Linked DNA regions of Oryzias latipes. The protein of the gene in region 2 purifies or fractionates together with the protein of the main gene of each other region. This does not show direct contact. Links are inferred from orthologs where the notes say so. Each region holds a gene or a part of one and is shown on either strand. Other genes may lie near its edges.

What was found. Proteins that work in one complex are often made in the same cells at the same time.
Region 1: the proteins of cyld (region 2) and spata2 purify together in Homo sapiens (affinity purification with western blotting; 10 studies listed by BioGRID and IntAct, with this or other methods). This does not show direct contact. The link is inferred for Oryzias latipes from reciprocal best matches to the Homo sapiens genes CYLD and SPATA2.

What each region holds. Positions count from the first base shown.
Region 1 is NC_019865.2:15,134,074-15,138,361, reverse strand, and holds the start of spata2 (spermatogenesis-associated protein 2), read right to left. Parts: upstream 2,805-4,288; 5' UTR 2,699-2,804; intron 1,735-2,698; 5' UTR 1,275-1,734; coding exon 924-1,274; intron 531-923; coding exon 1-530. Other genes in the region: E3 ubiquitin-protein ligase RNF114, read left to right, coding at 3,513-3,649, 4,161-4,288.
Region 2 is NC_019861.2:30,227,117-30,231,477, reverse strand, and holds the start of cyld (ubiquitin carboxyl-terminal hydrolase CYLD), read left to right. Parts: upstream 1-1,553; 5' UTR 1,554-1,918; intron 1,919-2,945; 5' UTR 2,946-2,997; coding exon 2,998-3,489; intron 3,490-4,361. UniProt on the Homo sapiens protein: Deubiquitinase that specifically cleaves 'Lys-63'- and linear 'Met-1'-linked polyubiquitin chains and is involved in NF-kappa-B activation and TNF-alpha-induced necroptosis.

The DNA of each region.
Region 1 (4,288 bases), on a different chromosome or scaffold from region 2:
TCGTCCTTCATATCTTCCTCTGCATCCACAAACAGAGGTTCCTTCCTTAAGCTCAGCGAGGCCTTCAAAACAGGCTTGCTCACAGCTGGGTGCCAGTGCCCAGCCCCATCTGTAACATCCACAGATTTGGAGGGTCGGCTACCTCGCCTTAAGTGGTGGGCGTGAGGTCTTTCTATATCCAGCGGTCGCACAGACAGACGAGCCATGTCTGCCCCGAGGCTGTCACGTCTACGGAGCGCCTCAGCACAGCCAGCTGCATCATCTCTGCTCCCTCTGCGGAGTTCCAGGGCCTCCAGCTCTGAAGCTGAACCACGAGCCAAAGCCACTACCTCTCCCAGAAGACGACACTCTGCCTGAGCCAAGAAGAGCTCGAATGCTAATTGGCGCAGATGATTTGAGCCCACAGGATGCTCCTGCAAATGGAACTGCGAATTATGATCACAAGCATACCCAATGGTGCGCATCAAAGTTCGGAGTTCCGCATCAGAAATGACAGACTGCAGATGGTAGACGTATGGCCCAGTGAAGGTCTGGAAGAGAAAACATGTCATCTGTATTACTGTCTCCTTAAAAAAAAAGGTAAGATTAACCAACAACACAAAAAAAGTAAATCCAACAGTCTTTAATTTTTTTGAAAACTGAATTCATGTAAAATATATCAAAGTTTTATCTCTTCTAAGTTCTACAAGATAAAAGTTTTGAGCTACCTATAAATTCTGAATTTGTATTTTTTTAACATCTATTTTAGATGTAAACAATCTTTGAACCCTTATCCTCTTCGCATCCTGCACTTCTCTTTGCTCACTGGGTAGAAATAAAAACTCAGTAACACTGTAACATCTGTATAAATACTACAGGGAACTATTGTGTTTGTTGTGGTGATCAGTCTTATTTTAGGCATTACCATCACAAACTGAACTCACCTTTATACATCTAAACTCCTTTTTCCAAGGGAAGAGCAAGAGATTGGTGCAGATGGTTTCCAGGGTGTGAAATGCTCTCTCCAGGCTCTTGAGACTGCCTCCTCTCTGGCAGTGAAGGGAATTATCCACAATCTCGTAGAAACGCACCATGCGAAACCTCTGTCCAGGATCTGGCTGGTAGGCGCCAAGCAGAGCCGTTGCTGTTGAAAGTAGGGCCTCCTTGTCCTTTTGTCTACTTTGCTCTCCACCCGATGTAGTTCCGGTCCCCGTATAATCACCCCCCTCCTCCAGACGTTTCTCCAGTGCTGTCACATACCTCCGAAACAGATCTTCTTTCAACTTGGCATCCATTGTCAGAAGCAGACTTTCAGTCAGCTTTTACAATTTTCTGAGAGAGCCCCCCCTCCCCATTTAAGCACAACCTGCACCGGGATGCCACATTTAAGCACCATTTTTAGTCACCATAATTTCCTGTACAGATTGGAACTCAGTCACTTCTTATGTATTTTGGGAGATGAGGGAAGAACTAGATTTGAGTCCACTCTGGCGTACCCCTTCTAAAGTAGAAAGACAGGTGACTGATGCTTTCACTTGGTGTATCCAGGCTGCAATCGGCATGGATACCGTCTTACAACCATCTCTGGTAAAAGCTCAAGACTCAATTTTACCCCAGAAGTGAAGTCAGAAGATGTTTTTTTTTTTTTTGCCTTTAGAAACAGTTAGGCTTGGATGCTGTGAATGCGGAGCTCCACGTCCCTCTTCTAGAAGACGTTCTGTTCGTTAAACGATTCTTCTGAGCCACCTCAGAGTCCTAATGAGAAATCAAAATGACAGAAATAGAAATGTCATTTAAAAACACAAGCTCAGAAAGTATTGTTACGAGAAAAGCTTCACTTTAAGTTACAAGATGTCGCAACAACCACTATATGCTCTGCATAACTAATTATTCCATTTTTTAAGGGAAGTAAAGCATCACTAATCTCAGGCAGATTAAGTATTTTGTGTGGGAAGCATTGTGTGGGTTCCTTAATTAATATTGTCAGTCACAATCGTAAACCTGCTGCATTACTGCGAAACGATGACCAATAAGGAAGGGGAAATATAATGGGTGACTGGCACTTGAGGCTGACGCTCGACACAGATAAGGCTGTCCCTTTCAGTTAACGTTTCAATTGGAAAAGGATTTATCGGGGCTGTCCACACGTTACCCTAATTATATGGCGGGACATAAAACAGGCAAACTGAACCGACAGGTGACTTATGAAAACGAGCTGCAATGTTTTCATGCCAGAGGAGAGGTCCAGGAAATTGGACGTCGTTTCCTGGTAAATAAATCGGGTGGCTGTTCCAGTTTTTTTGCCCTGGCATTGGATATCCAGTTAGCTAGCAAGCTACATCAACATGCCTTTTCACTGCGCATCAGTTAGGTCAGCATCGTTAATTAACACGGGTGATGTAAAACAACACATCCACTGTAGAACGTGTTCTAAAAGACTTTCGACATCCTAAATAAAACTGGCACTGACCCCCAAATGAGTACAAGCTAAGCAGTGAACGCCCATTTAAGCGCAGATGGCTAGTTAGCAATTGACTCTGGGCGGGCTAGCAGGGCGTTCCATTGCTACACTCACTCAGCTATTTCACGCTATATAAGAGAAATTACCCAAACAGATAAAATAACAAGCCATTTCTCTTATCAACAAACATGTTATTACGATACTGTAGGTGTTACGAGTCATAACCAACCCAGAAACACAATCAAATCGTTATCTTACCTTTTCATAAGTGCTAACCATCGCTAGTTACGCCTCCTCAGCTGTTGAAAATTCATTTTTAGCGGAGTACGCATGCGCAAAATCTTGACAGTTCATGACCACTAGGGGCCCACGTGTAAAGGGAGGGGATTCAGAGCCCACACTGACAGTCATTAGTATTAGACAAAACCAACAAACAGATGCACATAATAAACCCTATAGGTAGACCGTCAGTCATTAATCATTAGACACTGCAAACGCTAGTTTTTTTAGACGCTAATTAATTTCACCACCTAAAGTCACCCACAATAAGGAAGTGTTGATTTGGATCACAATAGTACAAAGGCCAATAGTTTGGTTTATATTTATGTTTTTAATTATGCAGATAAAATATTTACTGGTTTAATCAGAGGCCAAACGTAACAATACCAGGCTGCATTCTTCGATCACCTCACCTGCACCTAAAAAAGATGATGGATACGGACATTATTCTAAATTCCCCAATTACTGACAATGACGTTAGAAAACGAGGACGATTACATTCTCTTTTGAATTGAAAGTTATATTTTCCAGTCGCCGAATGACTGCCTTAAACTTAGTAGAACTTGGAGGTGGTTGGATTTTACAGTTATGGTGGAGAATTTCCGCCATAGACCTCAAGTTTGAGTCAACTGCTGCACTGCCAGACAGAATAAATAGAACTGCACGTAGAGCAGCCTCTGCTCATACATGCAGCGGTGGCTCCGCCCCACGCCGTAAAAAAACAACCAAAACCCAGTGACGTTGCTATGGGAAGGGTTGCTTGGAACTAATGCAGTGAAGAAAAGAAATAGAAATGGCGGTGCGCGGAGGATTTAGCGCTGCACAACAGAGAGAAACCACTGCTGACGGCAGCAACGACGTGTCAGATTTTATGTGTCCAGTTTGCCTCGAAATCTTTGAGAGACCTGTCAGAACACAATGTGGACATACGTAAGTATTTCGCCTTATTTTGACCACCCTCCCCTTACTGAGGCTCAGCACCATCGATGAAACGATACCAGTTAAAAACAATGAAGGGAAATGCTTGATCTTTTAACGCATTCTGGCATTAACAGAATGCCAACGTTAATATTCTTAGATTCGCTATGAGCTAAAATTCTGTAATGTTGTCTTTTTCTGCGTGTATATATTTGGCAAAACCTATTCTAGCCTGTTAAATCAGTTTCAGTTTTGTTTACATCAAAGAATAGGCTTTATTAGGGAAATGTAGTTCATAAATCTTTTGCAGTTACTCGAAAGACTAATGTGACGGACTACAAGTCCCTGCGCCCCCTTGAGGTGGGGATTTCCATCGAATTTACCGGAAGCTAAAGTAAAAAATAATTGTCTTTGAGAGCTGTGTGGGTATTAAATAATTCCAACTAATCAATTATATTTATGTGAGGATTTTGTTTAAATATTTGTCTTTTTATTGTTGTTATTTCTTTCTACCTCTTGGCAGATTCTGTCACAATTGTTTGCAAGAGTGTTTGCGTCCTCAAAAGCCCGTATGTGCGGTATGTAGGACTACAGTTGGGCCGTGGACCAAAGCAGTGGATCTAGAAGCCCTCATCCAGTCATCAATCTCAG
Region 2 (4,361 bases):
CATGTTTAAAGGATGGAGGTAGGGCTGCATGATGAGGAAAACGTGCGAAATGCGATATTAGTGATTAATATTGCGATGATGATATAACTTGCAGTATATGAACAAATATTTAAACAAGGAAATACATAATTTCCATTTCACTGCAACAGTGAACAAAAATATATTCCAAATGACCCACATAAAAAATCTAACATAAAAGGGCTCCATCCAATTGGTCTATGATATAAAGGAGTCTATTCGATTGGTCAAACACATAAAGGGATTTGTTTTTTTCATTAAATACTACAAACTGCCATAAGATTGTTTTAGCATATTTAAGGTAACCATGCATTGCCATTTTAACCGTCTTTAGCGATATGCATATTGCACAGCTTGATATTGCGATAACAATACATTTGCCATTTATTGTGCAGGCCAACAGAGGTATTTTAATTTAGTTTTGTAATCTACAACTGCCCTTCTTTAAAGAATAAAAGAGACCAGCCGTATTATTGATGGGAGAAAAAGCAAAACAAAGAGCTGGTTATGGTAGGAATATGTGGATTCTCTGATGACCGCATTAGGAAGTCAGTATCAAGCAATATAAATATGTGTTTAGGAGTAATTAGAGATGCACATGCCCAGTAGCTTGTATAAATCAGATACAGTTCCAGCATCTATGCCATCCATCCATCGGTAATTAAGGGGCTGCTGGAGCCTATCCCAGTTTACTAATGTTTTCCGTTTTGTTTTCAATGCTATAACAATCAAAAACATAATTCTTGTTTGCTATGAAAAGGCTGACGGACAACTGCATAACCAGGACAGGGGTGGAATCTCTCATTGAAGCCTTGGAAAATAACCCACGAGTGAAGTCAGTATGGTATGTTACAGCATCCATCAATCCTTTGGTAATTAAGGGGCTGCTGGAGCCTATCCCAGTTTACTAATGATTCATACAGCGTGGACAAGTCGCCCGCTGGTTGCAGGGCCACACAATCACACGCCCATACACAGTCACACCTAGGGACATTTAGAGGGTGTGCCCCACCTTCGCACAACAGTAGCCAGGTTAGGCTCTGGCAGCCGTGTGACCCTGACAGGGCTAAAGTGGGATTCATACAGCCTACAAATTTTCATAAAAAAAGAAATAACTCAATAGCAAGTTACAAGACAACGCTTCAGACCTTTTTAAAGGACCTATAAAATAGCACTTCTATTTTTTTTTACACTTAGACTATGCACACAAGAGCTTGTTTTCACATAAAGAGTAGAATTTAGTTTAACTCAAGAATAGTTGTAATATATAAAAATTCACTAAAAGTCATTAAAACATTACATATATGATAATGGTACAGTCATTACCCTTTTAATATGGCGGACCCTGACAAAATCGAACATTTCCTACATCCGATCTAGAGCTATAGCTCTAAAGAGCCACTGTACATCTCAACCAGACTTGGTTTTCTGCGAGCCGTGGGAAACCCCCTCCTGTTGGAACTTGAAGATTGACAGGAAAACTAGCCAATCAACACACGAGTACGGAACGCATGACCAATGTCTGTAAGAGAGTGCAAAGTACGTCATCTGTTAACTGTAGCGAGGTCGGCTCCTGTAAATAATAAATCTCACATATGCAGCAGTACACCGCCTTATTCTTACGTATTTTTGAAACGCCAAAAGTATTTCGTTTAAATGTTATGTTGTGCACTTTAGCGAGGAGCAGCGGCCTGCCTGCTAGCTTGCTCCTAAACTGTTCGCGAGGCGACTTTAGCCTGATATTTAGCTAGTCCGGACGCTACCATTACCTAGCTATTTAGCTAATCAGAGGTTATTACAGGAATATTATACATATTCTATTGGCGCCCCCGTCAAGCAAAGATGGATGTATGAAATGACAGCCTTTTTTGGCCTATAGGTGACTCGACACACACAAAAGGTAAGATTTGTTTTTGCATAAGGAAAACGAATATTGGTATTTCCCTTTTGGGGCCGTTGTTGGCAGATTTCTAAATACAGCTGTTAAAGACACTCAAAAAATATTTAAGTCTAGGAAGATCACAGCTTTAGGCTTTCAAAAATTCAATTTCACCCAAAGCCAACAAATAGAAAGATTAAGGCAGCACTAGTTTGTGTATTATCACCTTGCAGAGATTTACTTAGCAATGATTAGCTCGGTTTTAATTGTGTGATTGTTTTGAGGCAGGTGTTTAATTCGTTCTCAACAAGGTATCAACGTCAGGGTTGTGAACTGTGATGCGCTGCTCAAAACAATTGACGGATGTGAAAGCAGAGTGATCTCTGTTGAGCGTATCTGGTGACCAAAAGATAAGGTGTGATCGGGGAAATCCAGCAGTCAGACCGGCGTTAGACCTGTCTGTCTTCTGCACGCTGTTTTATGCTATTTATAGTTCATTCAAATCAGTAGATCTGACTAACTGCTCCAAAAAATGTAGCCAAAAACAGATGGGTTTTTCACTCAGGTGATGCTTTGAAGAAGCTTCATACATCCTGAGCTGAATGTCATATCTGTGCACTTGTGAAGCAGTGAATAACAACATGTCAGTGTGTGTTTTTTTTCTCATGACTACCTGCAGACTCAGAATTTGCTAATTTAATCATAACTTGTAACATATTTGAGATAAGTATTGGTTTCTCTGTCCGCATATAAAACTCGACTCAAACCAAGATGCATGCTTTCATACTTTAGTCTGATTTCTGAAAGGGAAACGAGACAAAAATGTGCCACAGGCTATTGTGTGACTTAATGGTTTTTGCTGAAGCAAGTGTTATTCTGCACAGAGCTGCATTGTACCCGTTTGTTTGGTGTCTTTTAAAAAAACCCAGACAAAACGATATAGATGAGTGTCTGTAAGTTTCTTACCAGCTCTATCAGAGTTGTTAGTCTTAACACGTTCCTATCACTTGTCCATCAAATGCTGAACATGTCTTTTTTTTTATTTTAGGCCCCCTGGTCAAGCTCGCCTTGGCGCTGGTCCTGCTGCTTACCATGCAGCCATGAGCTCTGCCCTGTGGAACCAGGATAGGTCTGGTGGGGGCTTCAGGGAGGACTGGCGCTTCTACATGGTCATAAAAGAATGTACTGTGGAGAAGCCTGCACAGAAGACCCTAAGGATCCCCCGTGGTAGCCTGGGCCAGGCCTGTCAGGAGCGTAATAGCCTGGGACGAACTCTCCCTCCATGCAAGGGCAAGAAGAGCCTCCGCATCCTGGACCAGACCAACGTGGTGCTGAGCCTGGATGAGCGGGATGTGTTGGAGTTGGAGGAGAAGCTGGCTGAGCTGCTGTTCCCCATTACCAACTGTGAGGAGCGATATGCCCTGCTGTGCGACGAGCAACGTCTGCAGCGGGTTCGTGACATCGATTGTGGTTCCAAGGTGCGTGTCCAGCTGCGATCAGGGGATGAGCCTCTGCCAGGTGTGGTTCGCTTCAAGGGCTCACTGCTGCCTGACAGAGCCCTGTCGGGAATCTGGTTTGGAGTGGAGCTGCTGGTGAGAAATAACTTTTATCGGTCATACGTTTTGTATTTGTAATTGCAAGCTTTGCATTTTCATTCTGTTTTTTAAGGATTGTTGTGCTGCTTCTGGAGGAATGGTTTTAAAAGTCTGAGCTTTAAAAATGTTACAGCATTTTGTTGACGGGGACAAAACAATTTTTTTTCTGTCTTGCACATCGAGATGAGTTTGCATAAAAAGCATTAATTTACAACCAAACTGATTTAAACCTAAATTGATATTCAGTATTCACATGCCAAAACATTAAAGGTGGATTTGCATGGGCTTTAAATCGGCGTTTCCTAAGCCTGGTTGTCAGAACGCCAACTGTCCTGCATGGTTTCGATCCTATCTGGCTTTAATGACTGTAATCATTGTAAAGTTTCTACAAAGGTTGATGGAGTCTGATTGGATCAGGTGTGTCTGAGCAGAGTAGTGCTGAACACATGAAGGGGTGCGTTTACCGGGGATCAGGTTGGAGAAATTGCTCCAACAACTGGCTACAAATCCTCATACATAAACATTGCCACGAAGAGATTATTAGTTTACTTTGCCTTCTCTTTGTATTTGTTTAGAAATAATGCAGTTTCAGACTTCTAACATATTCTGGAAGCACTGAAATCTTAAGAAAAAAAGATAAACAAAAAAAGCAGGTTATAATACAATGTTTTGCAGGAAATCAACTTTCCGAAGTCACAAAAGGTCTTTCTTTAAAAGTAATTAAAAGTTATTGGTTGAAGAAAAAAAACAAGTACCTGAATGAATTAGAATTTGAAATATAATATGCATCACCTTCGCCGTCGATCAAGGAGAAGACTTGCTCTTTCCTTCATGTCTTTCTTCAAAGTTTTCATTTCTTCGATGCAGTT